Arabidopsis thaliana: one gene and its partners. Each later gene encodes a partner of the first gene's protein in a complex. Each region holds a gene or a part of one and is shown in the gene's direction. Other genes may lie near its edges.

Evidence for each region.
Region 2: Pnsl5 (region 1) and NdhM share a complex: the UniProt entries of both Arabidopsis thaliana proteins name them as parts of the chloroplast NDH complex.
Region 3: Pnsl5 (region 1) and PnsB5 share a complex: the UniProt entries of both Arabidopsis thaliana proteins name them as parts of the chloroplast NDH complex.
Region 4: Pnsl5 (region 1) and PnsL3 share a complex: the UniProt entries of both Arabidopsis thaliana proteins name them as parts of the chloroplast NDH complex.

What each region holds. Positions count from the first base shown.
Region 1 is NC_003076.8:4,157,798-4,166,649, reverse strand, and holds Pnsl5 (cyclophilin 20-2), read left to right. Parts: upstream 1-1,726; 5' UTR 1,727-1,929; coding exon 1,930-1,953; intron 1,954-2,046; coding exon 2,047-2,259; intron 2,260-2,403; coding exon 2,404-2,646; intron 2,647-3,229; coding exon 3,230-3,284; intron 3,285-3,478; coding exon 3,479-3,564; intron 3,565-3,777; coding exon 3,778-3,936; 3' UTR 3,937-4,276; downstream 4,277-8,852. Other genes in the region: G6PD2 (glucose-6-phosphate dehydrogenase 2), read right to left, coding at 5,010-5,460, 5,529-5,758, 5,836-5,956, 6,048-6,197, 6,336-6,541, 6,634-6,748, 6,885-6,979, 7,092-7,321 and 1 more; AT5G13100 (Gap junction beta-4 protein), read right to left, coding at 8,415-8,506, 8,598-8,715, 8,812-8,852. UniProt on the Arabidopsis thaliana protein: NDH shuttles electrons from NAD(P)H:plastoquinone, via FMN and iron-sulfur (Fe-S) centers, to quinones in the photosynthetic chain and possibly in a chloroplast respiratory chain.
Region 2 is NC_003075.7:17,828,577-17,835,988, reverse strand, and holds NdhM (subunit NDH-M of NAD(P)H:plastoquinone dehydrogenase complex), read left to right. Parts: upstream 1-4,369; 5' UTR 4,370-4,503; coding exon 4,504-4,956; intron 4,957-5,040; coding exon 5,041-5,241; 3' UTR 5,242-5,456; downstream 5,457-7,412. Other genes in the region: AGL21 (AGAMOUS-like 21), read left to right, coding at 1-80, 157-294; SHM1 (serine transhydroxymethyltransferase 1), read left to right, coding at 1,247-1,333, 1,440-1,490, 1,662-1,748, 1,844-1,965, 2,070-2,146, 2,226-2,350, 2,435-2,527, 2,615-2,707 and 7 more; AT4G37920 (endoribonuclease E-like protein), read left to right, coding at 5,672-5,855, 6,032-6,297, 6,389-6,554, 6,630-6,874, 6,951-7,138, 7,217-7,412. UniProt on the Arabidopsis thaliana protein: NDH shuttles electrons from NAD(P)H:plastoquinone, via FMN and iron-sulfur (Fe-S) centers, to quinones in the photosynthetic chain and possibly in a chloroplast respiratory chain.
Region 3 is NC_003076.8:17,577,831-17,585,905, reverse strand, and holds PnsB5 (NAD(P)H dehydrogenase 18), read left to right. Parts: upstream 1-4,630; 5' UTR 4,631-4,760; coding exon 4,761-4,982; intron 4,983-5,057; coding exon 5,058-5,121; intron 5,122-5,227; coding exon 5,228-5,290; intron 5,291-5,369; coding exon 5,370-5,428; intron 5,429-5,575; coding exon 5,576-5,806; 3' UTR 5,807-6,039; downstream 6,040-8,075. Other genes in the region: KCS20 (3-ketoacyl-CoA synthase 20), read right to left, coding at 1-3; AT5G43755 (non-LTR retrolelement reverse transcriptase-like protein), read left to right, coding at 2,134-2,179, 2,346-2,579, 2,679-2,929. UniProt on the Arabidopsis thaliana protein: NDH shuttles electrons from NAD(P)H:plastoquinone, via FMN and iron-sulfur (Fe-S) centers, to quinones in the photosynthetic chain and possibly in a chloroplast respiratory chain.
Region 4 is NC_003074.8:165,107-172,568, forward strand, and holds PnsL3 (PsbQ-like 1), read left to right. Parts: upstream 1-3,301; 5' UTR 3,302-3,371; coding exon 3,372-3,648; intron 3,649-3,792; coding exon 3,793-4,079; intron 4,080-4,202; coding exon 4,203-4,301; 3' UTR 4,302-4,556; downstream 4,557-7,462. Other genes in the region: AT3G01430 (NHL domain protein), read right to left, coding at 489-1,031; AT3G01435 (uncharacterized protein), read right to left, coding at 1,747-1,923, 2,612-2,878; AT3G01450 (ARM repeat superfamily protein), read right to left, coding at 4,797-5,084, 5,225-5,419, 5,514-5,646, 5,745-5,851, 6,016-6,273. UniProt on the Arabidopsis thaliana protein: NDH shuttles electrons from NAD(P)H:plastoquinone, via FMN and iron-sulfur (Fe-S) centers, to quinones in the photosynthetic chain and possibly in a chloroplast respiratory chain.

The sequences.
Region 1 (8,852 bases):
AGAGAGACGTGAGACACGCACGACACACAGACTCTTCAAGTAGTGGGAGCGTCTTTATAGAAAAGTGAGTGGCGCGACTTACAAATAAAACCGTCCAGCTTCCCGGCCCCAATTTCGTAACTCACAGGCCCATCTGTGTTATTAGAGCAACCCTAATGGTTAAACTTTTAATAGGTTTTTTCCAATTTTTTTAATTTTAAAATTTGAGATTTGAATTTAAGAGATTTTGTTGGTCTCTTAATTTTTCTTGGTTTAATGGTAGAAATTTTTAGTGAGTTTCTTATAGTAAAAAATATTATTAAAATGAAAATTATAAATATTCTATTTTATAAAATTTAATAATTAATACAAATACTAAAATTTTAAACCTACAAGAAATGAATATTGAGAATCGGAATAACAATTAGTAGTTAGTTTGATTCCCACCAAATTTGTGTTATATATGCTCAACCAAATCACCTTTCAATTGTTGATGCATAGCCCGATCACGAACTCGAGCACGAGAGACCATAAAATTACCGAGATTTGAAGACATATCTGTAGAGTAGTTAAAATAACTTGTGAAGAGATGGTTGATTCTGGTAGTATGAATTTAGATGCACCAAACGATTTTTTTCAATTTAGTCTTTGATTTGATTATTACGCCCTATGATGAGGAGCTCGACACATATCATCTTTCATCAACATTGACATCGCCATCGTAAATGGAAATAACGAAATGAAAACAATTCAACCGAAATGAAAAGAAAAAAATTGGGTCATATTTTTCCTTCTCTTCCCTCTCCACCAATAGAAGTTTGCCATGTAGGGTCCCTTTGTTGTTTGAAAAATACCGTAAGAGAGAAACAACCCTCTCAATTAAACTGATTTCTAATTTATTTTGGGCTATATAATTCAAGGGACCAACCCTCAAAAGCCCCTTAGAGGCTGCCGTTGGAGTTGGTCTCAGATACAAGGTTTAATTAGTTTTAACTTGCTCTAAAGCCTCTCTACTATAACTTTATTACATTTTGTTTAGTAACAAATGACATTCCCTCTTTTTCTCCCTTTTTGAAATAAATATTCTTTAGATTTACACAATTTTGTTGTTTTTTAGAACTGTTCATCGAAAAATTTCGTCATATTGTCACTAAACTTTTGTAACTTCTAAGAAATTTCCAATATGTTTTCAAAATTTTACCATATAAATACTAATTTTAAGAGAAAATTTGTATCAATAATATGGATTAAAACATGAAGTTAGATTTTTTTTAAAAAGCTTAAAGCCCAATTTTTTTAAAAAAATTGCAAATAATCAGTCTTGAGAATTGAGCATGTTACCAATTCATGTTATACGGAATTAACACTGAACTATATTTCGTTTAACCGTTAAATTATACATGGTACAAAAAAATTGATGTCGTTTACTACTATATAAATATTGTTGATGCCTTTTACTTGCTTGAGCCCAAGATCAACTCTACCTTCTATTTCCGTAATGAATGACAACATATAATCTTATAACTGTATTAATTTATAATTTTTTTATATGACTCGGTTAATTTCCGCGCGATGCATATTTTGTTTTGAAAAAATATTTTTGATTTGTATTTATGGTTTTATTTTCTTATATTAAATAAATATCAGAAATAGTGAACACACTATTTTCTTATAGTAGGTTTGTATTTTAGTTTATGAGATTAGTGTCATTTTGATACGATGAGTTTTTCTTTGTTTGCACTTTGCACAGGTAAATATGCTTCATAGGATCGGCTGACCTGACCCACTCAAAATTGACTCGATGCGAAGCCACGTAACCGGCAGGGGCATAACTGTAAATAACCATGGAATGTATTTCTCAGACTCTTTCGTGCTATCACTCGCTCATCGTCACCTTCACCTTCACCTACCATTTTTGCCAACAAACGCGAGCAAGAGTTTTGAGCTCCAATGGCGACCTTGTCGATGACTCTGGTGCGTTTAATTTTTCCCTTTTGTACTTTTGATTTTGTTTTACCTTTCCGCTTCTTCTGCTTCTCCTGCTCTAATTTTCGGTTATCATCATAGTCAAATCCGAAGTCGCTCTCAGCTCCTCCACGAAGACTTTCTCCGATCAATACCTCCGCTTTCACATCTACCTCTTTCCGATTGCGCACCAAATCTTCCTTCGATTCAATCTCGTTCTCGTCTTCAACTCCCTTCTCCGCCTCATCGCTCCTCCTTCACACGTCTTATACCAAAAGAAACCACCGCTGTTTCTCTGTTCAATCCAATGCTGAGGTTAGGGATTCTCTCATATCTTGTTAGTCACTGATGTCATTTGATGGAATTGGTTGTTTTATTCAGCTTACTCTTAGTTTTTTTTTTCCATTAGATTTACTAAAAGCTATGGAATCATAATATGATGTGGATTTTGTATTCCAGGTGGTTACTGAACCGCAATCGAAAATAACACACAAGGTGTATTTCGATATAAGTGTTGGCAATCCAGTGGGGAAGTTAGCTGGGAGGATTGTTATTGGATTGTATGGTGATGATGTTCCCCAAACTGTGGAGAACTTTCGTGCTCTATGCACAGGTGAAAAGGGATTTGGCTACAAGGGTTCTACATTCCATCGTGTCATCAGAGATTTCATGATTCAGGGAGGAGACTTTGAGAAGGGCAATGTGAGTTTTTCTGGCTGAATTCCTTGGCAGCACCAGTTTCTTGTTAGCTGACTTGCGGTCCATATTATGTTTCTTTTGATTTACTTTGGTTCATCTTATTTTCTGCCAAATCACAAAGTAAAGTAAGCTGTCTCATATCAGGATGGCAGGATGTTTATTAATTTCTTGGATGTGGTACATAGTATAAGTCAAATCTTTCTCGATAAGGAAGGATGCTTAAGTTCTTACTTGTACGGATTTAGAGTCGCTCTTGAAAGCACATGTTTGGGTACATTAATAGGAAAAAGCCTGACCTTTGGAGAGCTTTCTACAGACAATCTTTCTGATAGCTGGCTCTCTGATTTGTAGATCAGTGGCTTTAGAAGAACAACCCCTGTTAATCTTAGACTTTTGTTCTTTTCTATATAGATAATACCTGGGCTGTAGGGAACTTATATACTGGTTCGTGGGTATGCAACTAGCTGTAGCTCGGTAGAAATATATTGTTATTTTCTGTTTCTGCCCATCTCAGTTACCGAAGATTCTTCTAGTAACTGCTAGGAGAATTCCATAATAATGATACAGAAGTCTAATTGTTGAGCAGGGAACTGGAGGTAAAAGTGTATATGGCCGTACATTCAAGGATGAGAATTTCAAGTGTAAGTCTATCCTTTTTCACTTGTTTCCTTCTTCTTCATTCTCCCCAGCTGTGCTTTAGCATTCATATTTATCAGTGGTAATGCATTTTAACTAAACATTTCTGCATTCTCTTTTTAGCTGAGCTGAGTATAATATATACCAAACCTTCAGTTTTATAAAATTCATGAAAGTAATAATGTGCTATACGCTGCAGTATCCCATGTCGGACCAGGAGTTCTAAGTATGGCAAATGCTGGCCCTAATACAAATGGAAGTCAGTTCTTTATCTGCACTATTAAGGTAAAATCTCCCTCTGGTTAAGGCCTATTGTTAAATTAGAAGTTATACGTAGGCAAGCGAGCATCAACAATAAAGAACACAGGTATTACAGTATATAGAATCCAATAATATAACCTAAAGAGTAGAGTTTTGAAATTGGAAACGAAGAACCATCCAAGCTTTGTTGGGAAATTTAGTGTATATCAAATTAATATGCGATAACGATGTGGACAGACGTCATGGTTGGACGGAAGACATGTGGTGTTCGGGCAAGTAATAGAAGGAATGGAAGTGGTGAAGCTGATAGAGGAACAAGAGACAGACAGAGGAGACCGTCCCAGAAAGAAAGTGGTGATAGCAGACTGTGGTCAACTTCCAATGTCTGAAGCTTAAAAGTAAGATCATTTAACCAAAATCTTGTAGACATGAGATGGAGCTTGTTTTTGCATTTTACAACCCTTTCTTTTGTGTAATGGATTTGTATCCCCTTCTTCCAAAAATTTAAGAAAGAAATAGTATTCCGCTGCCGGGTGTTGAACTCATATTTCATTTCATTGGTTTGTTTCGAAATTAACCATTGTGTTATAGCGGTTCAGTTGCATTACTAAGATACAAAATCTGAAGATTCAAGAGTAGTCGATGCAGTTGTGAAATTGGTCTGTGTAATACAGCGGATTTGTTGGTTTGGTATACGAGCAATTTGTATTTAAAGTCCGATCTCTTCATAAAAAAGTAAGAACAACAATTGAAACAAAAAATATTCCGCTGCCCGGATTTGATCCCGGATTTCATTTTGAGTAGTGAAATTGGCCTGTGTGCTACAGCGGACTTGTTTGATTTATATACGAGGGATTTGTTTTTAAAGTCTGATATCTTATTGAAAACAATACTAATTAAAATAATAAGTATTCCGCTGCCGGGGTTTGATCCCGGATTTCATATTGAGTAGTGAAATTGGCCTGTGTGCTACAGCGGACTTTTTGGTTTTGTATATGAGTGATTTGTATTTAAAGTCTGATATCTTATTGAAAACTAACTAATTGAACCAAAAAGTATTACGCTGCCGAGGTTTGAGCCCGGATTTCAAATTCTGTTGTGAAATTGGCATGTGTGCTACAGCGGACTTGTTGAACATGTATCCGATCAATTTGTATATAAAGTCTGCTTTCAGATTAATGAACAATATAATTACTTGTACCTATCACATGTTTGTATTTTAGTGTTCTTTCTTTTTGGTCAACCTTTTCTAGATACAAGATATCTCTGAATACTAGAAGAGCACACCATAAAAAGAAGACATTTTCCTTGTAGAGAATAAGAGAAACCCCTTTGGTTTATTTATTTATTAAATGGTACATAACCAAATTGCACAAATTAAAGCTGTAAAAAGAGGCGTAGAAAAAGCTTGAATCCTAGATAAATCTATTATCAATGTAAAAAAAAGAGAATACAAACAAGAAAATGTTTTACTGGTCAATACTGACGTCACCCCATTGCACCTTGTGTTTAGCAGCTAGATAATGAGCACCAACAGGACCACGGCTACCATAAGGATAGTACTCAGGGATTCTCTTCTTCTCTTCAATCTCTTTAAGCAATGGAGTGAATAGCGACCAAGCTGCATCAAGCTCGTCACTTCTTATGAACAATCTTCTTTCTCCTTCTATTGCATCTAACAGAAGCCTCTCATATGCATCTGGTATCTCCTTTGAATACCTTGCTGAGTATAGAAGATTCAAGTTACTGCGATCTAATCTCATTCCTAAACCAGGGACCTTGTTGTTGATTTTCAAATAGATTGCTTCATCTGGTTGGACACGGATCACAAGCTCATTTGTAGCTTGATCAAGATCAGAACCAGTATTCCGGTTATACAAATTCCCCGGAACATGCCTGAACTGCACCCTTATCTCTGCACTGTAATTTTACTTATCAGTAAGAGTCAATATACAAAATTCCACAAGTGCGAAGTTCTAGGTACCTACCTCCTGGTGTGTAGTGCTTTGCCCGCTTTCATTAAAAAGGGCACACCGTCCCATCTTGCATTGTCGATGAAAAGAGCAGCAGCTGCAAATGTTGGAGTCAGACTACCTTTTGGTACAGTTTTATCATCGGTGTAGGCAGGATATGTGACTCCTCCCTTTGTGTGGCTCTTGTATTGTCCTATTACCACATCTTCAACTCGAATTGGCCTCATTGAACGTAACACCTTAACCTGAATTGTGCATGAGACTTTCATTATATGTTTTCTTGAATCAAACCCAAATTGCAAAGTGAAAGAAATTATCATACCTTTTCATTTCTGATATCCTCTGCATCCAAACTAACAGGCGTTTCCATGGCAAAGAGGGCTAAGATTTGAAGCAGATGATTCTGCATTATATCTCTTATTATTCCGTAATTGTCAAAGTACCTGAATTAAGCAAAAGAGAACAGGAAGGAAACATAAGCTTTCAATACAGAAGAGACATGAATAGCTAGATAATGGTAAACAGGCACTTTACCCTCCACGTCCTTCAGTGCCGAAATCCTCAGAAAATATAAATTGCACGTTCCTTATGTACTGCCTTGACCATAGCGGCTCAAATATAAGGTTTGAGAATCGAAGAACAGATAAGTTCTCGACTAGCTCCTTTCCTAGGTAATGGTCTATCCTGTAAGAACACATTTTCATTATCATATCAGCCAAGCAACCAATAGTATCATCATTGCAACAAAATATCATATCAGCCAAGCATCCAATAGTATTATCATTGCAACAAAACAAAGCTATAAGTGCATTTATCTTTCACCTAAAAATTTGATCTTCCTCCAAATACTGCTTGAGGGATTTCGTTAAAGCAGCCGAGGTTTCAGAATCTCGACCAAAAGGTTTCTCGACGATAACCCTAGTCCATCCATTGACAGATGAAGCAGAAGTGCTTGCACATTTCACAGCATCTACAAATATATTTGGAGGGATAGACAAATAAAAGAGGCGGTTTGAGATTCTTCCAGCCTACAGAAATACAAAGGATAAGAACCACTATGTAAAAGAAGTAGACTCCAATTTTCTAGTTTACTGATTTGAAGAGAACAAATGTTCAATACCTCATGTTCCTTGAGCTTCTTATCCAATTCAGTAAAATGTTCCTGAGAATCATACTGACCAGAATGGTAAAAACATCTCTTGAGAAATTCTTCCATCTTTTCACCACAGTTTGCCCTGAAATCCAAATGGAACAATGACATAATACTCAGAGTTAATTATCTTCAAAAACCCATATCCAACTGAATTGAAGCATAAAGACTTGTCTTGACAAACAAAAACCGGAAACTTTTCAGTAGCTACAATTGCTAACCTCTTATCAATTCTGCAAGTGAGGGTTTTGCTGACCATGTTTCTAAGTTCAACATCTGTCATCTTACTCCTAGAATATCCAAATATTGTAAAATGCTGCCACACAACAAAATCAAATTGTCAATCACTAGACTTTAATGTGCAAAACACACACACAGGCGATCAAAATAGCAAATCATAGAGAAGAAAACCATCTTCTTGGCAATACCTCAGGGAGACAACCTTCATAGTAAAGGGCGAAAAGAGCCGGGAAAATCTTCTTCTTAGCAAGATCACCAGAGGCTCCAACCACCGTAATACTAACTGTTGACTGGCTTTGACCATCAGATTCTACTCCAACCTTGGCTGCTTCTTGAGATAAAGCTGATAGCACCTCATCTTTCAATCCCTTAAGAGAAGTTTTACTCTCTGATGAATTTGAATTAGTGACTATTGCACCTAACACCCAATCCAAATGTCAGAACAACCCCTCTTCTACTGATATCAATATCACATTTAATTCACATAGACACCTAATTGCCTAATGAAATTGTATTCAGAGATTCAAGTGCAGTTAATAAATAAGCTTGGTTTTAGATTTGGTCAATTCTAATCCGGAAAACAAAGATAGAATGAAACTAACCATCTTGCATAAAGACAGAAGCACGACCAGACTTCCTCTGGAATCTAACACAGAGGTCAAGAGGATTCAATCCTTGAGGAGAAGCAGACAGGAACGAGAGTGATCGATGTCGGTCACCGTTAACCGGTGAGAAAGAAGCCAAATAACCGGAATGATATGATCGGGTGGTGACGGAGGAAGACAAAGCCGCCATCGTCAAAGATACAACAGAGAGATGGCAAATTGAATTGTTGTCTAAAGATGAGATTTTTAGTTAAAAAATAATGATGAACATAAGAAACATCGAAAAAGGATTTAAGGGGCGATACTGCAAATAAGAGAACCTTTTGAGATCTCCCAAAGGTTAAGTCTTTTGTTGTCTAAATTAAAATGCTCACTGGTGTGCTGGTATGGCTACGTGAAGCCCGTCTGCACACAAAAATAATATTCAATTCAACCAATACCTCAAGTGGACCTTTTTGCTTTCTCTTTCTCTTTCTTTTTTTTTCATAACAGAGACATCTCCGAATATACGTTTTCTCAAAGATGCTTTCTTTCTTTCTCTATTTAGCTACTTTCGTAGATGATCATTATGGTTGATGCAAATTTAGTTGGAAGCTGAAGATTTTGCTCTGTTCTGAGAACTTTTCATTTCAAACAAAACTTATGAGTTTACACTCTTTTACATTACAGCCACAACTCTGAAACAGACAAAGAGAATTTCCCGTTTTCATCCCCAATAACGAACAAAAAATCAAATACTCTTCTTCTCAAACTACAACAATTGATAAAAAAAACAGCTCAAACTCGCAGGCTAATAATAACCTGAGCGAATTTCATCTCTCTCTCCTCCCTAACATGATTGATTCTCTCTACCAATACAATAACAAAAAACTACCAAAAACTGTGATTTTGAAGAAGCTCCAAAATTCAGAGAACGAGGGCGACTTTCTCATGAGATATCAGAGGAGATGGATTCGCTATCAAGGGCTCGTAATGGTCTGCTCCACCACCACACCAACCTGAACCAGTGAGATGAGTTTAGTAATTACCAAGTCCAAAAATATGAGATAGATTTGAAGACTTTTTATCAAATGGTGTTTAGTTATTTACCAGTGCCTTTCATGAATAGAAAGACTGGGACTTCAAGAACTTCACTTCTTGGTTTGTGAGGAAGAAAGAACACACAGTTCTCTTCCTCTACCATCCCATCTGATCCATGCGCTTGCACCTATAACACCAACATTTCACAACTTTACTTAGATGTCATTTGGGAAAAAAAAACACAACCAAAGTAACAAACTTGTTACATCAGATAACTACTCACCACATAGATTTCTCGTTTGAACTCAGTGGCTAGACACTCGA
Region 2 (7,412 bases), on another chromosome or scaffold:
ATCTTATTCATCAGGAAAACCTCGATTTATCTAGGAAAGTACAACGGATTCATCAAGAAAATGTGGAGCTCTACAAGAAGGTAACAAATCATGTTTTACAAAAACTCCATTTTCTTTGGAGTAAGAGCTTCGAAGTGATATGGCTTCGACTTTCAGGCTTATATGGCAAACACAAACGGGTTTACACACCGTGAAGTAGCTGTTGCGGATGATGAATCACACACTCAGATTCGGCTGCAACTAAGCCAGCCTGAACATTCCGATTATGACACTCCACCAAGAGCAAACGAATAACAGAGAGGTAAACTTTTTTAATTGATCTTGATGTTTCACAAACATGCATGCACCATTTAGGCATTTTATATATTTTATGTAACTCGTTAAAAACTTTCACAGATTGAAGTTGGAAGATACCATGATGTTGAAGAACACTCCAAAGGCCTTGGTTTGAATAAGGTTCTTGAACTGGAAACCTCTATACACCAAGCCACGTACGATAAGCAGCATGGTTCTTCTAACATAGTCATATTTTCAATCCTAAATATAATTAAAGCATATATAATTAAAATCCGGTGTTGTTATACTCATCTTGAGTATTAATATTGTACTTGTTTATAACCATAGATTCGTCAATTAATAGAGAAAAATCATATGAATTATTATCCTCAAAACTCTCTCAAATATCAATATTCTTAGATCAATAATTTGTTTAATATATATAACCATGCACTTGGTAATTCTAAAATGTTAAATAAACATTTTCTGTTAAGTTTTTTGTTTTGTTGGTTTTATTTTGTAAATTCACCATAATTCTGTTAATCTTATTCCCCCAAACTAACCGGTTTGGAAACTATATAAATTAAATTGATGTGTGATAACTGAATCGGTTATCGTTGACTGCACTGACCAGAAACCAATAAAGGTTCTGTCTTAAAGGGAAACAAATCATCGTCGTCACCAAATCATCACAATTCACAAAGGTTGGTGTAGACAGGGACCTGAGAGATAACGACAAAGAAACAACAAATATAAAATAAAAATCAGAAGAAAATATAAATAAAAAAAGAGGGAAAAAATTCGAAAATTTGCTGCAACCACCAAAAGCTCAGCCAAAAGCAGAGGCCACAATTCTCTCAAACAAGATAAACCCAATTTTGTTATTTTTGTTCTCTCTTCTCTCTCGTTCATGTTTCAAATCTGTTTCTAGGGTTTCACAAACCAGAGATAGAGAGAGGTTTAGCGAAAAATGGCGATGGCCATGGCTCTTCGAAGGCTTTCTTCTTCAATTGACAAACCCATTCGTCCTCTTATTCGATCCACTTCATGTTACATGGTAACAACCCTAAAGTTTCTTCCTTTTATCTCCGAATTTTATAATCGGATTGGAAATTTTCGATTTTTTTTTTTTTTTTTTCTGATTTCTGTTTGTTCCGTTGCAGTCTTCTTTGCCCAGTGAAGCTGTTGATGAGAAGGAAAGATCTCGTGTCACTGTGAGTTTAAGCGCCTTTTTGTATCTCTTGTTTGTTTATAGTTTTCCTTGTGGTTGAAGCAATGGTTTTGATTGTTGAAGTTCTATGTCTGTTTCAAATTGATGTATGGAGTTCTATTTTTGGTGTGACTGAATCTAATGAAACTTATGTCTTTGTAAACGTTCGTTTCAGTGGCCAAAACAGCTTAACGCACCTTTAGAGGAGGTTGATCCTGAGATTGCTGACATTATTGAGCATGAGAAAGCTAGACAATGGAAGGTTAGTTTGTCTCTGAGATTACTATCTCTTAAATCTTGTTCCTTGATTGATTATTATAAGTTAGGCTGATGTTTGTAACGCTTGTGTTATTATAGGGACTTGAACTTATTCCATCTGAGAACTTCACATCTGTGTCGGTGATGCAAGCTGTTGGGTCTGTCATGACTAACAAATACAGTGAAGGCTATCCTGGTGCCAGATACTATGGAGGAAATGAGTATGTTCAGGAATTTTCAATCTGACACATTTAGTTTCAGGACATGATTGCTTGACCAATCTCTGTAATAAGAATTGAAATCTCAAGTACCTTTTGCTTTGTAGGTATATAGACATGGCAGAAACCTTATGCCAGAAGCGCGCTCTTGAAGCTTTCCGGTTAGATCCTGAAAAGTGGGGAGGTAAATTACTACTTTCATGTATATGAGAAACAAGAAATCTGATTAGTCCTTTGATGGCTTATTTGACTGGATCTTACAGTGAATGTTCAACCTTTGTCTGGATCTCCTGCCAACTTCCATGTGTACACTGCATTGTTAAAGCCTCATGAAAGAATCATGGCACTTGATCTTCCTCATGGTGGTCATCTTTCTCATGGTTATCAGGTGCCTTCAAGTTAACTTTGTATGTCATTTCGGAACTCTCTGACTCTGATGAATAACAGTTTCTTTCTTCTTATTTCTCATCAGACTGACACCAAGAAGATATCAGCTGTGTCTATCTTCTTTGAAACAATGCCCTATAGATTGGACGAGAGCACTGGCTACATCGACTACGATCAGGTTCTTAACTCTTCTATTAAGCAATCATAGTAACTTATAACTAACCCGCTTCATAACAATACATAAGTCTTTAATTTTGATTTGCAGATGGAGAAAAGTGCTACTCTTTTCAGGCCAAAATTGATTGTTGCTGGTGCAAGTGCTTATGCTAGATTGTATGACTATGCCCGCATCAGAAAGGTAATTTCAGTCTCATATCCAACTACAGAACAGATTATTGTAATCAGTAGTGAGTTTTGATTCGAACTCTTTTCCCAGGTCTGTAACAAGCAAAAAGCTGTAATGCTAGCAGATATGGCACACATCAGTGGTTTGGTTGCTGCTAATGTAATCCCTTCACCGTTCGACTATGCTGATGTTGTAACCACCACAACTCACAAGTCACTTCGTGGACCCCGTGGAGCCATGATTTTCTTCAGAAAGGGTGTTAAGGAAATTAACAAGCAAGGGAAAGAGGTAAAAAAGAAAAAGAAGCAAAATTTGAACCAAAATGTTTTAGATTTATGTATAATCTTTCACGTCATTCATTTGTTGTCTTGAAAGGTTTTGTATGATTTTGAAGACAAGATCAACCAAGCTGTCTTCCCTGGTCTTCAAGGTGGTCCACACAACCACACTATCACAGGACTAGCTGTTGCTTTGAAACAGGTACGGTGAGGCACGGAATGGAACTAACGTTGCTTATTGGATTTGCGGTTTCTGTAACCTTCAAATGGTTTGAAAATGCAGGCAACTACTTCAGAGTACAAAGCATACCAAGAACAAGTCCTGAGTAACAGTGCAAAGTTTGCTCAGGTACTAATCCCGTGAAGGAAAGAAAAACACATATGGCGTAGTATCTACTTTGATTATATCTCTACATTGTTGTTTCGTGCAGACTCTAATGGAGAGAGGATATGAACTTGTTTCTGGTGGAACTGACAACCATCTGGTTCTAGTGAATCTAAAGCCCAAGGTCACTTGATCTTTTTTTGTATATAATCTTCTTTTATATTTCTTAGTTAAAACTCATTTTTTATTCGATTTTGTTTGCAGGGAATTGATGGATCTAGAGTTGAGAAAGTGTTGGAAGCTGTTCACATTGCATCCAACAAAAACACTGTTCCTGGAGATGTTTCTGCCATGGTTCCTGGTGGAATCAGAATGGGTAAAAATCACATTTAACCATTTTTCTTTTTGGTATTCGAATGGAGTTCTTCTTGATATCCTCTGCCATTGTTATTTTCAGGTACTCCTGCTCTCACTTCCAGAGGCTTTGTTGAGGAAGACTTTGCCAAAGTAGCTGAATACTTCGACAAAGCTGTGACAATAGCTCTCAAAGTCAAATCTGAAGCTCAAGGTTTTTACTTCTCTGATCACGATGCTATGCTTTCCGTTCTTATATACAATGATTGAACTCATTTGTTATGTTTCTAAAACCAGGAACCAAGTTGAAGGATTTCGTGTCAGCAATGGAATCCTCTTCAACCATCCAATCCGAGATTGCGAAACTGCGCCATGAAGTCGAGGAATTCGCTAAGCAGTTCCCAACAATTGGGTTTGAGAAAGAAACCATGAAGTACAAGAACTAAACTGTTTCACCCCACAAGTGTTTTCTGTTATGCTTTGAATTCCCATGGAATGTATAGATGATACATGTAAAACTCTATTTTCACGCTATGCGAAAAATAATGATCTGTTAAATTTTCTCTCTATACATCAAAAAGAAATATACTTAGACAAAAAAAACACATACAACAAAACAGTGAATTCCCTAAAGAAGATTGTCTTTAGCTCACAAGTGACTTAAGAGTAACCACAAAATACCAACAAAACGAGAAAGGGATAAATAAGAAACTAGAAGTTGGGAGAGGCTCATCCACAAGCTGTGGTCATTTCTCAACCTCATCAAATCTCTTTACAAGAATATGGTTCTGTAACCGGACAACATCTCAAAACTTGTTCTGTTTTTTTTTTTTCATTTCTTAGACAGAAAAATGGTTGCAGCATTCTCTTACACTGCCTGCACCAAGCTTTCTCTATTACATCCTTCTATGGTTGCTCAAATCCGACCAAGAACAACACAAAAGGCGTTCGTGGTGACAAATCCGGAACAAGACAGTACTCTTGAAGTACAAGAAACAGAGACACTCAAAGAAGAGCAATCAACAGAGAAGATGAAGAAGCAGCCAACACCATTGAGACCAGTGGAGAAACAGCTGAACGTGAAGAGCAAGGGTATGGGCGATTTTGGTGGTCAGTGGCTAAGCAGTGTCACACGTCACGTTAGGATCTACGCTGCTTATATTGATCCAGAGACTTGTGAGTTTGACCAGTCACAAATGGATAAACTCACTTTGATTCTTGATCCTACTGAAGAATTTGTGTGGGATGATGAAAGCTGTAACAAGGTCTATTCTTATTTCCAAGAACTCGTCGATCACTACGAGGTAACGATAACAATAAACGAACGAAACATTCATCTAAAAGTTAGACTCATTTCAAGAAGACCTTATAATATTGTTTTTGAACAGGGAGCACCATTAACGGAGTACACATTGAGATTGATAGGATCGGACGTAGAACATTACATAAGGAAGATGTTGTTCGATGGAGAAATACAATACAATATGGATGCAAGAGTTCTTAATTTCAGTATGGGAAAGCCTCGTGTACAATTCAATACCAGTAACATTGAAGGTGGTGGAGATGGTCAGCCTCAAGAGGACGCTTAGTGAAACAAACTCTATTTTATAATCATGTAATGGGAATATAAATATATTGTAGTATGCTTTTTAATTTTGTCTATCACAAAGTAACATATGTATATATCATGACATATGCTATAATTATTTTTGTAATAATCAATCTTAAGTTTCTTTGTCTTTTCTTGTTAATGTAAGGTCTTAAGGTCATGTGAATATGTAATGTCAAAGAAACTCAATTCTGGTCTTGCTCATTCATGTTCCTTACTCCTTGCCTCTTTTTAAAAAGATTTCAAACTGATGCAAAACTTGTTAGTTTTAACATTTTTACCCAAAAAGTTATATTAAGTTTTTGAATTTGTCAACGTTTACTAATTATTTACAATTAAAACCCTGTTCTTCTTATCCTCTGGTGTTTCTCGTTGTTCGTCACCAAGACGAACTTTGTGAGGGAGAAAAAATGGCGAATTTACTGGAAACATCAATCTTTTTCTCCTCTGCTGATAAATTACTGTCTTTCCCGCCTAAGAATTCTCAAACCCATCATCTCCCTTTCTCTGCTTTCATCAATGGAGGAAGAAAGATACGCAAAAGCTCAACTATCACCTTTGCTACCGACACTGTCACTTACAATGGCACTACAAGTAAGCTCATAAACCCTAAATCTCTAATCTTTCTGTCTAATTACCAATAAATTCTATTTCTTTAGATTCCAATTTGTATTAATTGTCACCATTAGATAAGCTAAACCCTTTTCATAGACTAGGATTCGTCTAGTTAGAGAAGCTTTTTTTATTGAAGATAGAAATTTTGTGTTTAGGTGCGGAAGTAAAAAGCTCTGTTGAGGATCCAATGGAAGTTGAGGTTGCTGAAGGTTACACTATGGCTCAGTTTTGTGACAAGATTATTGATCTCTTCTTGAATGAGAAACCTAAAGTTAAACAATGGAAGACGTATTTGGTTTTAAGAGATGAATGGAACAAGTACAGTGTTAATTTCTATAAGCGTTGCAGAATCCGAGCTGATACCGAAACTGATCCTATATTGAAGCAGAAACTGGTATCTTTGGAAAGTAAAGTCAAGAAGGTATTTATAGTGTTGTATTTTGTGTTTATTAGTGAACTCAGGTTAGTTTATTGTTGTTGTTGTGTACTTATAGGAGTGAGTATTGTTGCAGATAGATAAGGAAATGGAGAAACACAATGACCTTTTGAAGGAGATTCAAGAAAACCCAACAGACATAAACGCAATCGCTGCCAAGAGACGCAGAGACTTTACGGGAGAGTTTTTCCGCTATGTTACTTTGTTATCAGAAACTCTTGATGGCTTGGAAGACCGAGATGGTACTTAAAACATTAATCATGTTGCTTACTTATTGATTCCCACAGTTTCATGATTGTTTTGTTATTTTTGAGCAGCTGTTGCGAGGCTTGCAACTAGATGTTTATCTGCTGTGAGTGCTTATGACAACACGTTGGAGAGTGTTGAGACTCTAGATACTGCTCAAGCAAAGTTTGAAGATATTTTAAACTCTCCATCCGTGGATTCTGCTTGCGAAAAGATCAGAAGTTTAGCCAAGGCAAAGGAGCTTGATTCCTCATTGATCTTATTGATCAACAGTGCATACGCTGCTGCAAAAGAGTCTCAAACTGTTACGAACGAGGTAATAGCCATTGGATTACAATCTTCTTTAATATTCTTCACAATCTTCTCAAATCGATATCGTATTTTTTGAACAGGCTAAAGACATAATGTATCATTTATACAAAGCTACAAAGAGCAGTCTTAGAAGCATCACACCGAAAGAGATCAAACTTTTAAAGTACTTACTCAACATAACAGACCCCGAAGAACGATTCTCTGCCCTAGCTACAGCATTCTCTCCTGGTGATGACCACGAAGCTAAGGACCCTAAAGCATTATACACGTAAGTAACATAAAGATGCACACTTTAGTGTTTCATCTTTAACCACAACCATTGATTCTAACCAAGCTGATGACACAGGACGCCAAAGGAGCTGCATAAGTGGATAAAGATAATGCTTGATGCTTACCATCTCAACAAAGAAGAAACAGACATTAAAGAAGCTAAACAGATGAGCCAACCTATCGTTATTCAGCGGCTTTTCATTCTCAAGGACACTATCGAAGACGAGTATTTAGACAAGAAAACAATCGTGGCTGATGAAACTCCAAAGAAG
Region 3 (8,075 bases), about 13 Mb from region 1:
CATCGTGAGAATGAGCAAATGTTTAGGATGAAGAATGAGATGAGGATTTGGAGAGAAGTGTCAAGTGAAAGATTTGTTTCTCTCTCTCAAGAGTTGTTTGTGTTGTGTGAGAGAGAGAGAGAGGAGAAAAGAGAATGGCCTAAAAAGTTGGAGAAAATTTGAGAATTTAATGGGAAATTTTTGAGTGAGAGAGAAAGAGAGAGGGAGAGAGAGACTTAGCTATTGAATGTAGTTAGGGGAAATGGGAAATATTTAAGGAAAAAATATGGGTTTTTAAGAAATATACAAAGAGAATAATGTTAGCAAATAAATTGTTCAAACTAGTAAGACATCAAAAACATTTTCTGTTCAATCTAGTCAAGCAATTTTGTTTAGGACAGTACTATAATTTTTTAGTCCATGTATTATTCAATATTATTATTTATATTATTTCTATTTTTTAGAAATGGTAATTTAGAATTAAATTGTGAAATTGTTTTCATTTTCCAAATAAAAAGGCTATTAACATTAAAAGAAAAATGAAAACATGTTAACAAATGAAAAATCGAAACTAAAACTGGATAAAATAAGTTTTGTATTAGAGAGGGAAGATGCAACTACCCCAACGAAGCTTTTAATGTTTTTAGACAGTTGAGATTTGACACCTAAGAGACGGCGATGACTTTTATCCCAATTGGGGGCTTTTAATTTGGCCGCGTTCTATGCAATTTACTCTTTTACCCTTTCGTTGACCCGTTATCTTCGAAACTACCCTCTTTATGTGCACAACTTGAAGACAGTTACATTTTACGTGGCCGTGTGAACTTGTGTAAATTAATCATATTATATGATTCATATATAGATGGAAAATTAATAAGTGAACCGAAATAGAAGTTTGTTGAACCAAATATGAGTAATTGTGTGGGTTATTGCCATTAAAACTAGTCCATCCATTTCATGTTCTTTTGAATGAAATTGAGCAAGTCTTATAAATACCACTTAAAAAGGTTTTTGTAAACAAAAAATGGCATACATGTTCTAATTGGTCTACTAATACCATTTTTAATCCAATGTAACTTAACTAACCATCCCTTAAGTGAAAATTAATCAGATAGTTAATGTCATATTTTTTATGTTTCAAATTAAGGATGTTCAAGATTTTTATACAGTTGGATATCAATTATAAAGAGTCCCATTTCAAAACCCGCGACTAGATGATGAGCGGAATCATCGACCGGCACAGTCCCAATTCAAAACCATTTTGCAGATAGAGAATCATACATTCTCTGTCACTCTTCTATATTAATACCGGTTGACATTGCAGCTGCAAACAAAGAAGAAGTTTGAGTTGTGGTGGATATTTTCAGAAAAACCAATTAGATATAAGATTGAGGATTTTGCTCATCATAAAATAATCTATAACTTAAATGTAGTCAAAGGAAAAACATTGCACTTTCTTTATCGCCTACTACTATATTTATTGTGAATAAATTTTAAGATAATACAAAAAAAACTATTGAACCTCATCAGAAACTAATTCACACTTGATTTTTCCTTTTTGACCAAACGAATCAAGAAAAACATTGCATTTTCACATATGTTATATCATTATCAAAGAGGTTGTAATTTCATAAACAAAAGTCTATATTTTATTTTTTACATTCTTTTTTCGTTAAAAGGCTTATAAAAGTCTATTATTTACACTTTACAACATAGTATTCACTTAAATATTTTCATTATTCTATCTAAAACTAATTTGTATATGAAATCATAACAAACAATTAAAAATACAGTTCAAAACACCAAAATTTGCCCCAAAAAAAGAAATCCAAAATTTGATAATCGTTTCCGATCGAGTTCTATTTGACTTTGTATTGACTTGCTTTGGTCTGGTCTCATCTTTAAATACCACGTTCTAACCATTCTTCATGATTTTATTCCCGCGGCTTTGGTGAAAAACGTTTAATTTTCTTAAAATGATGTTGTAGACAAGAAAACTTTGTGTCATTATCAAGAAAATAAGAAATGATGCCATTCTACCAACTCTGAACTTGAAAGCCGAAGAATCGTCACAGATAGTTTTTGTCGTAGATGTGTCATAACGAGAGAAACTACGGATCATTTGTTCTTTACGTGTCCACACGCTCGCCAAATATGGAGAGCTTCGAACATTCCCCTTCCGAGTCTATCAAATCCCCAGGTGCATTATGAAACAAAAATTAAAGAGATTTATGAATTTCATAAAAATGCAGGACAACATACAATGCAAGGGCAGCTACCTATCTCGATCCTTTGGAGAATATGGAAAAGCCGTAATAAGCTAGTGTTCCAACGAAAACAGAACGATTGGTGGAGAGATATCAGAGATGCTACAAATGAAGCGGAAGAATGGATCACAAATGGCTTATGTGCGCAAGTTCCCACTCCGAGTACGACTAATGGCACAACTAGGCAGTTTCAGAGTCAGTGGCAAAAACCACATATGGGATGGATTAAGTGTAATTACGATGGCAGCTTTGTGAATCGAGTTCGTGGCTCTACGGCAGCTTGGATAATTAGAGATGATAACGGCGTGTTCAAAGGGGCTGCTCAAGCGACAGGTGCGACCGTTTCCTCAGCCTTTGAAGCAGAATGTCAAAGCCTAATTCTTACCATGCAACAATTATGGATAAGAGGCTTTAGAAAAGTAATACTTGAAGGCGACTGCAAGCTCCTAGTCAATGTTCTGAATGGAAGAGGCTCAAGATTTGATGCTATCAATTGGATCCATGAAATCAAAGTTTGGAGAAATAAGTTTGACGCAATCAAGTTCACGTGGTCACACAGATCAACAAATCAACCTGCTGATATTTTAGCGAAAAACCAGAAACATGCTCTGTCTTCATACATAGTTCATAGCTTTATCCCATTGTGTATCTCAAATGCTCTGTTTTCAGACTACGTTTCCTAAGTAATAAAAATGAAGTTCGTGTTAAAAAAAAAAAAAAAAAAATGATGCCATTAACTCATATCATAAGTTCATAACCCAAAACTAAACTATCGTTTCATGTGTACTAACTACTTGTGAGATTTTCACAAGTCAATAACATGCGTGTGAATCTTTAACGCGTGCGTGATAAGTTTTGTATTTATATCATCATTTGGTATGTGTCAACACACAATTTGGGGAGAGTTTGTGTGGTAAGTAATGCAAAAATATATGTTTGTTATATAACATAGAACTGATTCTAATTGCTAAGAAAATTCCTACCAAACGAAGCAATTACGTTCAACAATTATTCTTAGAAGTTTGAAGAAACCATTCTCTACCACTCCACAATTCTTTCTTCTTCATTGGTTTTACAAATTCTACCTTTTCAAGTCATTCTTAAATCTTAAATAAACAAAACCAGTTTGAATTTTTTTTCGTAGTTGGTAGAAAAGTGTGTTCCAAAATGAGTTCTTTAGAAAAAAAATATTTCCAAAATGAATTATGATTTTTAATCTCTCTGCACCTTTAGTTATATCGGTAAGATATCTCAAATTCTTCAAGCAAATTATGGTACATATTTTCTATAGATAATATTGAAGAAAAAAGGAGCTTAACTAGTGTTGATTTCAACTATCGGAATCAAATATATATTTGCATTTCATTAGACACTAAACCTTTCAACAAAAAAATAATAATAATTCAATAAACACTACATGTGTAAGTGCATGTCACATGGATTACAAATCATTAAGCTAATATCTTCGATGAATTAAGAAGATAAGTGGATAACAAGTACCTAACCGCAATAGTCCATAAATTAAAACATTAATGTATTTGTCGTTGAAAATTTGGCCGACTTTTATTTGTTATTCTAGTTTCCACATCAAAAATGTTTGTACTTCGTAGCAATCCATCCACCTAAACCCCAAATCTTAATTTATATTTGTTGCGTTTAAATTTGGGTGAGATTTGATTCTAAGTAGTTGAGATAAATTGATATTCTATTCATTAGTAAAATGATAGAGAAATTGGTTTATAATAATTTTACCCTAGAACATGACATGATATTGGTAACCATTAATCAAAGAAAGAGCAAAGCATTTAATTTACCCTACTCTCCAACCACTCCAGCCTTTATTAGTTGCAGTTGGGAATCATTTCTTTATGATTCTTATGTCATTGTCTCCTAAATCAATGAAGTGCCTTGACCTTGTTACTAATTCGAACATAGCAAAGCCAACTACATAGATCCTTTACAAAGTTCTAAAAACAGGTTGTTTAGGCGTCTAGACAAACAAAACCATTTTGTACGATTCAACAAATTGGTCCATAGAATGTTATTGATCTTTCTTGTTTAGGCATTCGATAAATCGGCTAATACATTATTTTTTTGTTTTGCTTTTTCCTTATTAAAAATATGCAAAGTATTATGATGTTTAACCTGAACTGAATTTTACATTTAACTGGATATAGGAAAATATTGGGTTGAATTTAATAATTAAGCAATTGTCACGTAAATCAAATTGGGCTTAATATATATTGTTGATTTCAGCAAAGACAAAGTTGGGCCGTTTCAATAGTCTTCACGCGATGTAAGCGTTCACTAACCAACTAGAGAAGACAATCAAATGAATACGTTCCACGTGACGCTTACGAACTTGTCAGTCACTTTGGTAATATGACAGACAGTAACCAGTAAACTACTAATCTCTTTCGCTAACGAACACACAAAAAAAAAAAGAACCGTTTTTTCTTTCTATGGCTCCAAAACTCTGAGACAGAGCAAGAAAAAGATAAAGTGAGTGAAAAAATGGCAACGGTCACGATTCTCTCACCCAAATCGATTCCAAAGGTCACTGATTCCAAATTCGGAGCTAGGGTTTCTGATCAGATCGTCAATGTCGTAAAATGCGGCAAATCCGGCCGGAGATTGAAGTTAGCGAAGCTGGTCTCAGCGGCTGGATTGTCACAGATCGAACCAGACATCAACGAAGACCCGATTGGTCAATTCGAGACTAATAGCATTGAAATGGTAAAGATTCAATTGATTTTAAATTCATAATTCTGCTGAAAGTTGTTTCTGATTGGTTAGCGCTTTTGTTAATAGGAAGATTTCAAGTATGGATATTACGATGGAGCTCATACTTACTATGAAGGAGAAGTTCAAAAGGGTATAATTTTGGTTTCTCCTATTGATTCTTGTCGCTGTTTCGATTTTAGAGCTATAATATTTCTTTGTTTGATTGATTGATTAGTCTTCTTGGAAATGTTTCTTAGGAACATTTTGGGGAGCAATTGCTGATGACATTGCTGCTGTGGATCAAACTAATGGGTTTCAAGGTATGAATTTAACCCGCTTTTTAGTGCTTTTTATGTACCGCAGATTGATTGAAAACTCGCGGTTTTTTTATGTCTGCAGGTTTGATCTCTTGTATGTTTCTTCCTGCTATAGCTCTTGGGATGTATTTTGATGCTCCGGTAACTTCAAAATCTTTTGCTTGCTTCCAAAATTTATCATTACTAGTTTTATCGCTTTTGTTTTGTGGAGGACGTACAAGAGATTAGATAATTAAGCCAAGTATGAGAAGAAAAAGAATCACCAGTGTTTGTGTGTGTGTGTTGCAGGGTGAGTACTTGTTCATAGGTGCAGCGTTATTCACGGTAGTGTTCTGTATAATAGAGATGGATAAACCTGACCAGCCACACAACTTCGAGCCTCAGATATACAAATTGGAGAGAGGAGCTCGTGACAAGCTCATTAATGACTACAACACAATGAGCATTTGGGACTTTAATGACAAATATGGTGATGTATGGGATTTCACCATTGAGAAAGATGATATCGCCACACGATAAGATAATGGATTGTGATCTCGTTATAATCATGACTTTTGATGTAAACTGTTTTATAAAATTGATGAATGAACGGGGTACAATGTGTATAATATTGATTGTTCATTCTCTTATTTTTCTTTAGTACCATAAAACCTAGATTCTCATCTTGTAGTGTTAGGTTTCTGTTCTTCACTATATGTTTTTTTAAGATCTAAGTACCTCGTATGGACCCAACGAGTTTCCATACCCATCATTAGTTCATACAATGGTGGATAAACCATACAATTTGAGGTTGACGTATGCCACACGCTAACTTCATCCCCTGGTCCAAACACAACAATATAGTGTTCCAGTATTGTGGAAGAGTCCGAGGAGCTAAACACACCTTCGAGTTCTATCGAGTTGGAACATCAAGTGACAAACCAGCTCCACTCCTAATCCCTAGTCTCTCTACAAGAAAATGCTTTAACGTATCTCTGACACTTTCTTTAATATTGTGCAAACTATTCGTAAGTTCCATACCAGTTTTTACTATGATACTAGATGAGTACCCACGCTACGCGTGGGTTTGTTTTGAAAATTGTTAAAAAATATTTAGATTGATTGTTAGTTTTGCTAATTTATGTTTATTTTTGTATTGTTAATGAAATTAGATCCATATTATTTACAATTTTTATGGTTAGATTCATTTGTAACTCGAAATATCAATTTCTAATTTTCATGTATAAAGCTATTTATAAGATGTTAATATTTGTTCACTATCAAAAATACATATAACAACAATATATGATATTTTGATACAATTATGTGTAACCATGTTACTTGTGTGGTTTAAAATTTATCTTACTCGATTATAAATAAATCAATTCTTTGTTTTATGTACTTCAACAACATTGTGATAAGCTCATGATTAAAGTTTTGATTGACTTCAACTGAACAAGATCTGAAGAGTATTCGTATGAAAAAGGGGTATGAAGAAAATAAAAAGATAGCAAAAACTAAATGTCATTTAAGTCAACACTTTTAGATCTTCTGTCATTGCATATATCAATATTAGAAAAATGATCGTGTTTTGCATGATTTGAAAATTGTCTAACTTGATTATAAATAAACTATTTTTGGTTTATGTATTCCCTGATATAATACTCCAACAACATTGTTATAGGCTCATGATTAAATATATAGAATTAATATAAATTGAACAAGATTTCAAGAGTATTCATATGAAAAAATAAAAAGAAAGCAAAAATGAAAGTATCATTTAAGTCAATACTTTTAGATCTTCTGTCATTGCATATATCCATATAAGAGAAATGATCGCGTATTAAATTATTTGGTAGGTCTTATAGAGTAGTGATTATTGCTATAAAAAAAATTTAGTCATTATAGAGTAGTGATTATTGCTAAAAAAATATAAATAAAAAGAATATAATGAAAGTAGTGCTTAATTTATTAACATATTTTTTTGTTTTTTATTTTTATTTTAAAAAAATCAATCAAGAGTAGGATTGATGATACATTTAATTTGTTTATTTAATTTTATTAATTTTTAGTTTTAAAAATATCGAATGACACATGTCATTTTCTTGTGTGATAATGTGTCATTCATATGGAGAGAGTTGGTCAACTTTCATATATATGATTTTAAACATAGATAAACCCTCTTACTATAATATTCTCTTATTCATCCTATTTTAATTAGTCAATCAAAACATTTCATACTATATTTTAAAATAAATAAAAATTAACATGAAAAAGGAACAAATTAAAGAAACAAAATGTGTATACTTTTAATTAAAGAAAATTAAATATCGGTTTGTGTTTATAACTAAGAGTTTGATTTTAGATTTTACAATTAAACAACATTATATGTCGTTTTGGGTTTATAAAAAACATTTAAGGTTTAGATTTTACAATAAAAATAAATTATATGTTGGTTTGGGTTTATAAAAATGAGGTTTAAGGTTTAGATTTTATAGTTAAACAAAATTATATCTCGGTTTGGTATTATAGAAGAGTATTTAGAGTTTAAATTTTACAGTTAAACAAAATTATCTGTCGGTTTGGATTTATAAAATGGAGGTTTAGGGTTTTGATTTTATAATTAAACAAAATTATAAGTCGGTTTGGATTTATAAAAGAATGGTTAGACTTTAATTTTTTACAATTAAAGAAAATTCTATGTCAGTTTGGATTTATAAAAGAATGGTTAAGATTTAAATTTACAATGAATTCAATTTAGTGGTTTTAATGAATTAAGCTTTTTATATATTTAGGGAGATTAATTGTT
Region 4 (7,462 bases), on another chromosome or scaffold:
TAACTACAAAAATCAGAGAAAAATTGATCATATATCATCATGAATTCCATAAAAGGAGAAAGAGGTGGCTACACAAGCGATCCTATAAAAAAACAGATCAACGAGTGATCCTTGTAGTTGTGGAACACTAATTCTTACACGATTTTCGCTAATCCAAATCCTGATAATCTTAGTGTTACACTAATTCTTACACGCTTTACCCTAATCCAAATCCTATGAACCTAATTCCTGATGGTTTGAAAATTTTTACTCCCTATGTTCCTAATTTTTTATTTTTTTCTAGAGTTTTGAAAAAAAAATTGTTTAATTATTTCTATATTTAAATTTTTTCTTGGATGAAAGGTGCTTTTCTTTGTAATTACATTGGTAATGACAGAATAATACTCAATAGTCAATACTAATTTATAAAAAAATATTGGAAGAAGAAACAAAATGCCATCTCATTTTGGTCTCACACACGACAACATAAAAAGTCGAGCGCGTGGCTTTCACTTGTTATCAATGTCGCTATCGAAATCAATTGAGCATTTAGTGGAAACCGGTAAGGAAGGCGCAGCGAATCTCATCGAGTAATCTCGGTACGGGAACTCGTCGTCAAAATGTCCGGTTTGATTTCCGTCATCGAAATTTAACGAGTAGCTCAACTGATCGTACCGGAATTTACCCTGATCCGATGACCGGTTAGGCATTGCACCACCTCCGCATCCTCCGCTGCTGTTTCCGACTCTCCCTCCTCCTCCTCCACAGCAGTTGCTGCGTCCGAACCGGCGGATATACGTCTTCCATCTAGGTCCAGCGACGAGCTCCGACCACTCCCTCATCCTCCGCCACCCTCGGATCCACCATCGCTCGTCGGGTTCGAGTTTGTCGACGGTCGTGATCCGTTGCCACCACACAGATCCGCCGCGAGTTGATGGCTGAGATGAGGCAAGGCAGGGCATGAGGAAACAACAACCTCGCTTCGCGAACAACGCCTCGTGCATATCGTCGGTGGCATCAACTTCAGCGATCGGCGGCGATTGATGACTCATTCTCAGAGAGAAACAGAAACGAAGGAAATATGGAATTTCGTCCTGATCTAGCTACTCTCTTTTGTCTCCTTAGATCGTCGTTCCTCTTCTCATCTCCAACTCTAAACCCTAATTTTCTCCCTCTACCCAAGAGATTTCTATCACCTTCTCCAATCAACGCGTCTCTTGAGCTGTAACTAAAACAGAAGAGCACAAAACGGCGTAACCGCCAACCCGGCAATATTGGTTCTCATTAACCCTTTTTAACCGCTTTGGTTTTATCACATCTAACCGGGAATTTCAGCTGTTGATGCTATTAATTTATTAAACCACATATGAATGAAGGGGTTCATATACGTAATTGACGTTAGCACATTTGGTTCCAAGTATTGATCGATACATTAAACCGCAATAAAATTGGTCCGTTTCTCTCTGGCCCAAAATTGGTTCGATTTCTCCATAAGCTGAAATTGATAACTCCCAGTGGATGTAATGTATCTAATATTCTTGGAACAGATTCATTGCAAGTGAATGTTCTAACCAAAATCACCTAATCTTTTTGCAAAATCTAATATAGTAAGTAGGATAATATCTTACTTTTGCAACAAGCCACTCATTCGTAAAAACCGGACATACTTTAATGGGATAACCTACAAGTCTACAACTCATCTGGAAACTATATCACAACCGATGGTTTAGTATAGTTCTTCAAGTAACCTTTTTATGAATACCAATATCAATCAGAAGAAGGATACCGGTCAGCAGTTTGTTTCAGATCTTCAAGCTGCGTGAGAACATATTCAAGCTTCTGGAAGCAGATCTCATTGGCTATTCTCGCGTTGTAATCGCATTTCTCAAAGGGACGGTACTCGCAAGCGCTTTTGATCTCTTCCCTTAGTGTCACTTGTATATCCTGCAAGTTTCACAAGAACTTCATCTTATTATGGATTGGCGATAACATTATAGCACATTTATGTACAGTCAAAGATCAACAAGTTCATGAACCAGACAATGAAGCTGATATCTTCAAACTTTATGATTATCTCTAGAAAAAAAGCAGAATCAAAAGCTTTTTACTTGTTCACAGAATGTAATGATCCCTAATCTAGACATGTGTCAAATGAGAGCCCAAATGTTCTTTAAACAGTGAGATTCCATCCAATATGAAAATATCAGCATCCATCACTCATAAACCTTAAGCCTAAGAATAAAGGATCAATGTCAAATCCTAAGAAACAGGAAAGGAATACAAACCTAGAGATTGTGATACATGAACCCATATGTTAACTAGTCACAGAAGAATCACAAAACGAGAAGCAGCGGCCATCTTGAAGACTAAAACCAAAATCAAAATTCTAAACAAAGCCCTTAACTTTGATCAGGAAATGTAATGAACCCTAATATAGACTTGTGTCAAATTAGCCCAAACGATCAACACTCGAGAAAAGATACCAATTCCCCAGAGAGATTGAGTCAGCAAGAACACTAATCTAGCTAGACTTGTGTCAAGTGATCCCCAATGTTCTTTGATCAGGTAGTTTATTAATACACTAATGCAAAAGAAATCAGAAAATATTTGAAGAAGAGATAGAGTAAGAAACCTTCATAGATTGCATAAACTCTCGGCAATGGCTGTTGACGAACTCTTTCTTGGGACCAGAAGGGCTCGCGAGTTCTTCCATCACTCCACCAGCTAGTTCCAAAACCTTAACAACTCTCTGCCCGGAAAACCAAAAATAAAAACACAAAAACACATTCACATCAAATCGTCCAATAAAATCTCTAAGGAAAGAGTGAGTTTTCCAAAATTTCACATTCTCAACATTCTGGAGTCGCTGCAACGAAGTGTTCTGCGTCTGCGGATCCATTGGACTCTCCACGATTTCTTTTAGACCAGAGAGAGAGAACTCCAAACTGAGATATATCACAATACCGTCAAATCCACTCATACACATACCCTAAATACTCAAATCGGAGCAGTGGGAGTACCTCAATCGAACACGGCGACGCGAGACAGTGAAGATGGCAGAGACGATGAAATAACACGGAGAATTTCGATTGGAAACGGCGTGCTTATGATCAGCAACGGAGGGAAGATTTTGGGGAATCGGCGACACTCGGCAATACAGATCGGTGAAGGAAAAAGCAAAGAAGATACAAGTTTTTTTTGTCACGTAAAACGGCACGAACTCTACTTTATCAATTCAGGAACAGCGAGTAGTTAAAATATTGAATTACGAAAACACCCCTTGGTTCAGATAAAATCTTTGTGATGGCCGCTTTTCTCATTTATAACGGATAAAAACCGTAAACAATACACAAGAACAGAGGCTGACACCTAAAGCTTACTCTCTAACTGCAATGGCTCACTTCATAGACCTCAACAGTCTCACCAACACTTTACCGTCTCTTCCGAAACTACCCGAGAGTCGTAAAACCGGGAAATCCAGCGGGTTTGCTTGCAGGAGAACTGAAGAATTTCAAGAACCGGATTCGGTACAGATCACAAGACGGATGACATTAGGATTTGCTGTCTCAATAGGTCTTACCGGAATTCTCGGCGAAAATAATGTTTCCTTGGCACAAGACAATGGGTTTTGGATTGATGGTCCTCTTCCAATTCCTCCTATTTACAACAGTAAGCGCCATTTTATATTCTTGATTGTTTTCTTTCTTCAAATGTTTGAACATTTTGAGCCATACAACTATTCAAGATGAGAATTCGATTTGGTAGAATCATTTGATTTCCGGTTTTGAATTCGTCCTCGATTTGAATATACAGATATCGTGAATGAGAAGACGGGAACGAGAACATTCATAAAGAAAGGAGTGTATGTAGCGGATATCGGGACGAAAGGAAGAATGTATAGAGTTAAAAAGAATGCTTTTGATCTCTTGGCAATGGAGGATTTGATCGGACCAGATACTTTAAACTATGTGAAAAAGTACTTGAGGCTTAAATCCACATTTTTGTTTTACGATTTCGACAATCTCATCTCTGCTGCTGCCTCTGAAGACAAGCAACCTCTCACTGATTTAGCCAACAGATTGTTCGACAATTTCGAAAAGGTAAGTGTACTAATGAAGTCCTGGTTCGTTCAAACCGAAGAGACTATTGTTTTTTTAAAATTTCTTCTCTTTTCTGATATATCCTATATGTTTATTTGTTGTTTTCTTGGTGTTTCGACACAGCTTGAAGATGCAGCTAAGACGAAGAACTTAGCAGAGACGGAATCGTGTTATAAAGATACAAAGTTTCTTCTTCAAGAGGTAATGACCAGAATGGCATGATCCTGGTTCGGTTTATACCGGTTTACTTGCTATTGATGATCCTACATGGTTGATAACTCTGTGGTCATAAATTGTAATCTTTGCGGAAAAATATTGAGATCTAGTAATCAAAAAAAAAAAATGTAATGTATAGACCAAAATATGATCAAATTTATAACGAATTGGATTTTAATTTTTCAATCAAAGATACAGAAAGAAGAGTATATGCACTAAATGTTTAATATTGAAATCTTAGTTTTAAGAAAACATTTGGCCAAAAAAAAAAAAAGTTTTAAGAAAACCAATGTAATATAGACTAAAACATGATATATATCAAATAAACCGACTAACTTTTTGCCTAAAACTAACGGTTGAGTCGTTGAGATTTATCTTACCACATCGACATATTCACACACAAAATAAAGAAACAAACCCATAAACCAAAGATAGAGAAACAGTGGTCGTACAACGTTTACTCACAGAGGCTTACAATATCAAACTGAGGGCTTGTGACTGTCATGAACCCGCAACAAGACCCTCTCGAGCCACACCTGCGACATTGGTGACACGTATCACAGCCTGTGCACTAAGAGGTGAGAGGTTTGATTGGCAGAAGATTTGCCAAGTGACTGGCTCTGGATGCTCCTCCTTCGGTTCGACATTAGTAGTTTTCTTGTACACTGTCTGAAGTTCCAGTAAGACTGCCCGTGCAGCCTCCCGAGATTCTGGGAGTTGGTCACTGAGCTGAGACGATGCTGCTTGGACTAGTTTCTCAATTCCATATTCTCTAATGCCTTCAATGCCCTAATGATTACACAGCCAAAGAAAGGTGATGTTGGTGGGAACATGGACTGGATCCAAATTGGTTGTCATGGTGATGACATGACAAATCCAAAACAAAAGAACAAGACTGGTTTTATGATATCGAGTGCAGTTTGATTTACCAGTCGGGGAACACATCGGGAGAAGCACGTGGATGCTTTTGCGCGGATCCGAGGATTCCTATTCTTGAGAAAAGGTTGAAGCTTTGGCAACAGCAAGGCAGGAGAAACATGTGCAGTCATTGCTACTAATGCTTTTTCTGCTGCTTCACAAACAAATCGCTTGTCTTGGGAAGATTTAAGGAGGAGTTGAGTAAGCTGTAAGAAGGGAATTCGGAGTTACTGTTATAAGAACACACAAATGTCCGCTATTTGAGGAGAATTCCAAGAGTATCTGCAAAAGATGATTTACCAAGAGATCCAATTGATCGATTGTATGGTCATTATATGAGCTGAAGATGTCAGCAGATGTCATACATGCGGTTTTACTTACAGCACTTCTTGGGTTCTTCAGTGATTTCACGATAAACAGGATCACTTTCTCCCTGTAAGAGCTGACAGCGTGAGACTAGAAAATTCTCTCGACGTGTAACTCGCTCTACTAAAACTGATCATAATCACGAGTAGAAAGAAAATGACTTACAGCATATGCAGCATTTCTTCCTTGTGGAATATGGAAAGACGACGAATGGTATTAAGAGCATCACAGACCAAAACCCAATCCTTGGAGTCTAGCTCGGTTACAAGTGACTGGAATAATAAAGAAAGCAGTTCCAGAATGGTATTAGGTAAACAACTTACTTCCAATGTCCAAATTCTAAACAGATGAATATAATTGCAAATTTGCAAGGCAGCATTACAAATGAGAATTCACAGTAAAGCATAGGATACTAGCAGGAAAAAACAATTGATACCTTGAGAACTGCATCAACTTGGGTTACATTGTTCAAGTCTTTGGATTCTATATACTCAATTTCTACGATAACTCTCTCTGCCTCAGGTTTCTCAATCTCATCGCCTTTAGGATGATTGTGATCAAAGGGGACAGAGTTTTGTGGTGGTTTATCTTCAGCTGTTCCATTCATTTTGCCAACCAAAAGCTTTGTTTTATAGTCGATATTCCTCTCAGAGACAGGAAGATTCTTCAAATCTTTTAAAGCCTTGGCAGCCATGCGTACCTGAAAAGTAACAAAGAAGACGCCATTATAAGTACAAACAACATAAGTTTAGCATCTGCGATTACAAAACCAAAGATAAGATTATAGATGAATTTTCGACCTCTAGCTTAGTATTAAGTATTCCCAATGAAACCCTTTCAAAGTAGAAATGGTAAGATAAACACATTACTATGAGAGTTCAACAGCAATAACATTAAAGAGCAGAGATCTATCTACATTCCCAAATCTTATTTCAAACAATTACGAAATTTACTCAAAACAAAAGCAAAAAACCTCGATCCCACTCAAGGACTCTAAAAAGTTCAAACAAATCCTCGCAGTCCGAAATCTAACTCCGGCGCCGTAAACTACTGCAACCGCGAAAGATCGAAAACGCAGAAGAATAGAAAAAGTAGCGGCGAGTCAAGCGGTATCGATGACTACTAACTTGAAGAGTAAATAGTGAAGATTATTTGACTCGCGTACCTCTATAAATTCGAAATGCCAGAGAAAATTCAGGGAGAGAAAGAGTCGATGAAGACGACGAAATTGATTTCCGGCCAACAGTTCGCAACTCGTAGTAGAGTCGTCGTAGTCATACTCGTTTACACCGACGTCGTTTTATGGATCCAACGGAGGGGACCCATTTGTACGGCATATCTTGGGCGAAATTAATGTTTTTCTTTTCCTTCTCTCTGATACACTTTGGTTGGTTATTGTAAATTCCTCAAATACCCTCGGACTAGATATGCATTTTTATTTTTATTTAGATATGGAATTGGTATATACATATTTTTTAATACGTAAAAACTTGGATTGGTGTGGAAATATTTTATTTTCTACTAAACGAAATAAATTGAACGTATAAAGTACATCACATGTTACATGCACTGATGCACATGAGGAGTGCAAATTTGAAAATATAAGATAAGAAACATGTTGCAAAGCTGCCACCCACCGTATCCAATTGCTACTATTTGTATCAATCAGTTACAAACTGAAAACCAAAAATGAAATGACTAGAACAAATAATGTTAAAATGCACATTGAAATAGTTAACAAGGAAAGCATACATTGATCGATAAAACGAATCCACCACGTTCCAAAATATTTTGTCGCAGATGTTGCAGACTTGTAGCTAAGTTGGGCCGGTAGATGTAGGTGACAAGTGTTTACAAATCTGTTAACTGTCGCTGTGTTCCTC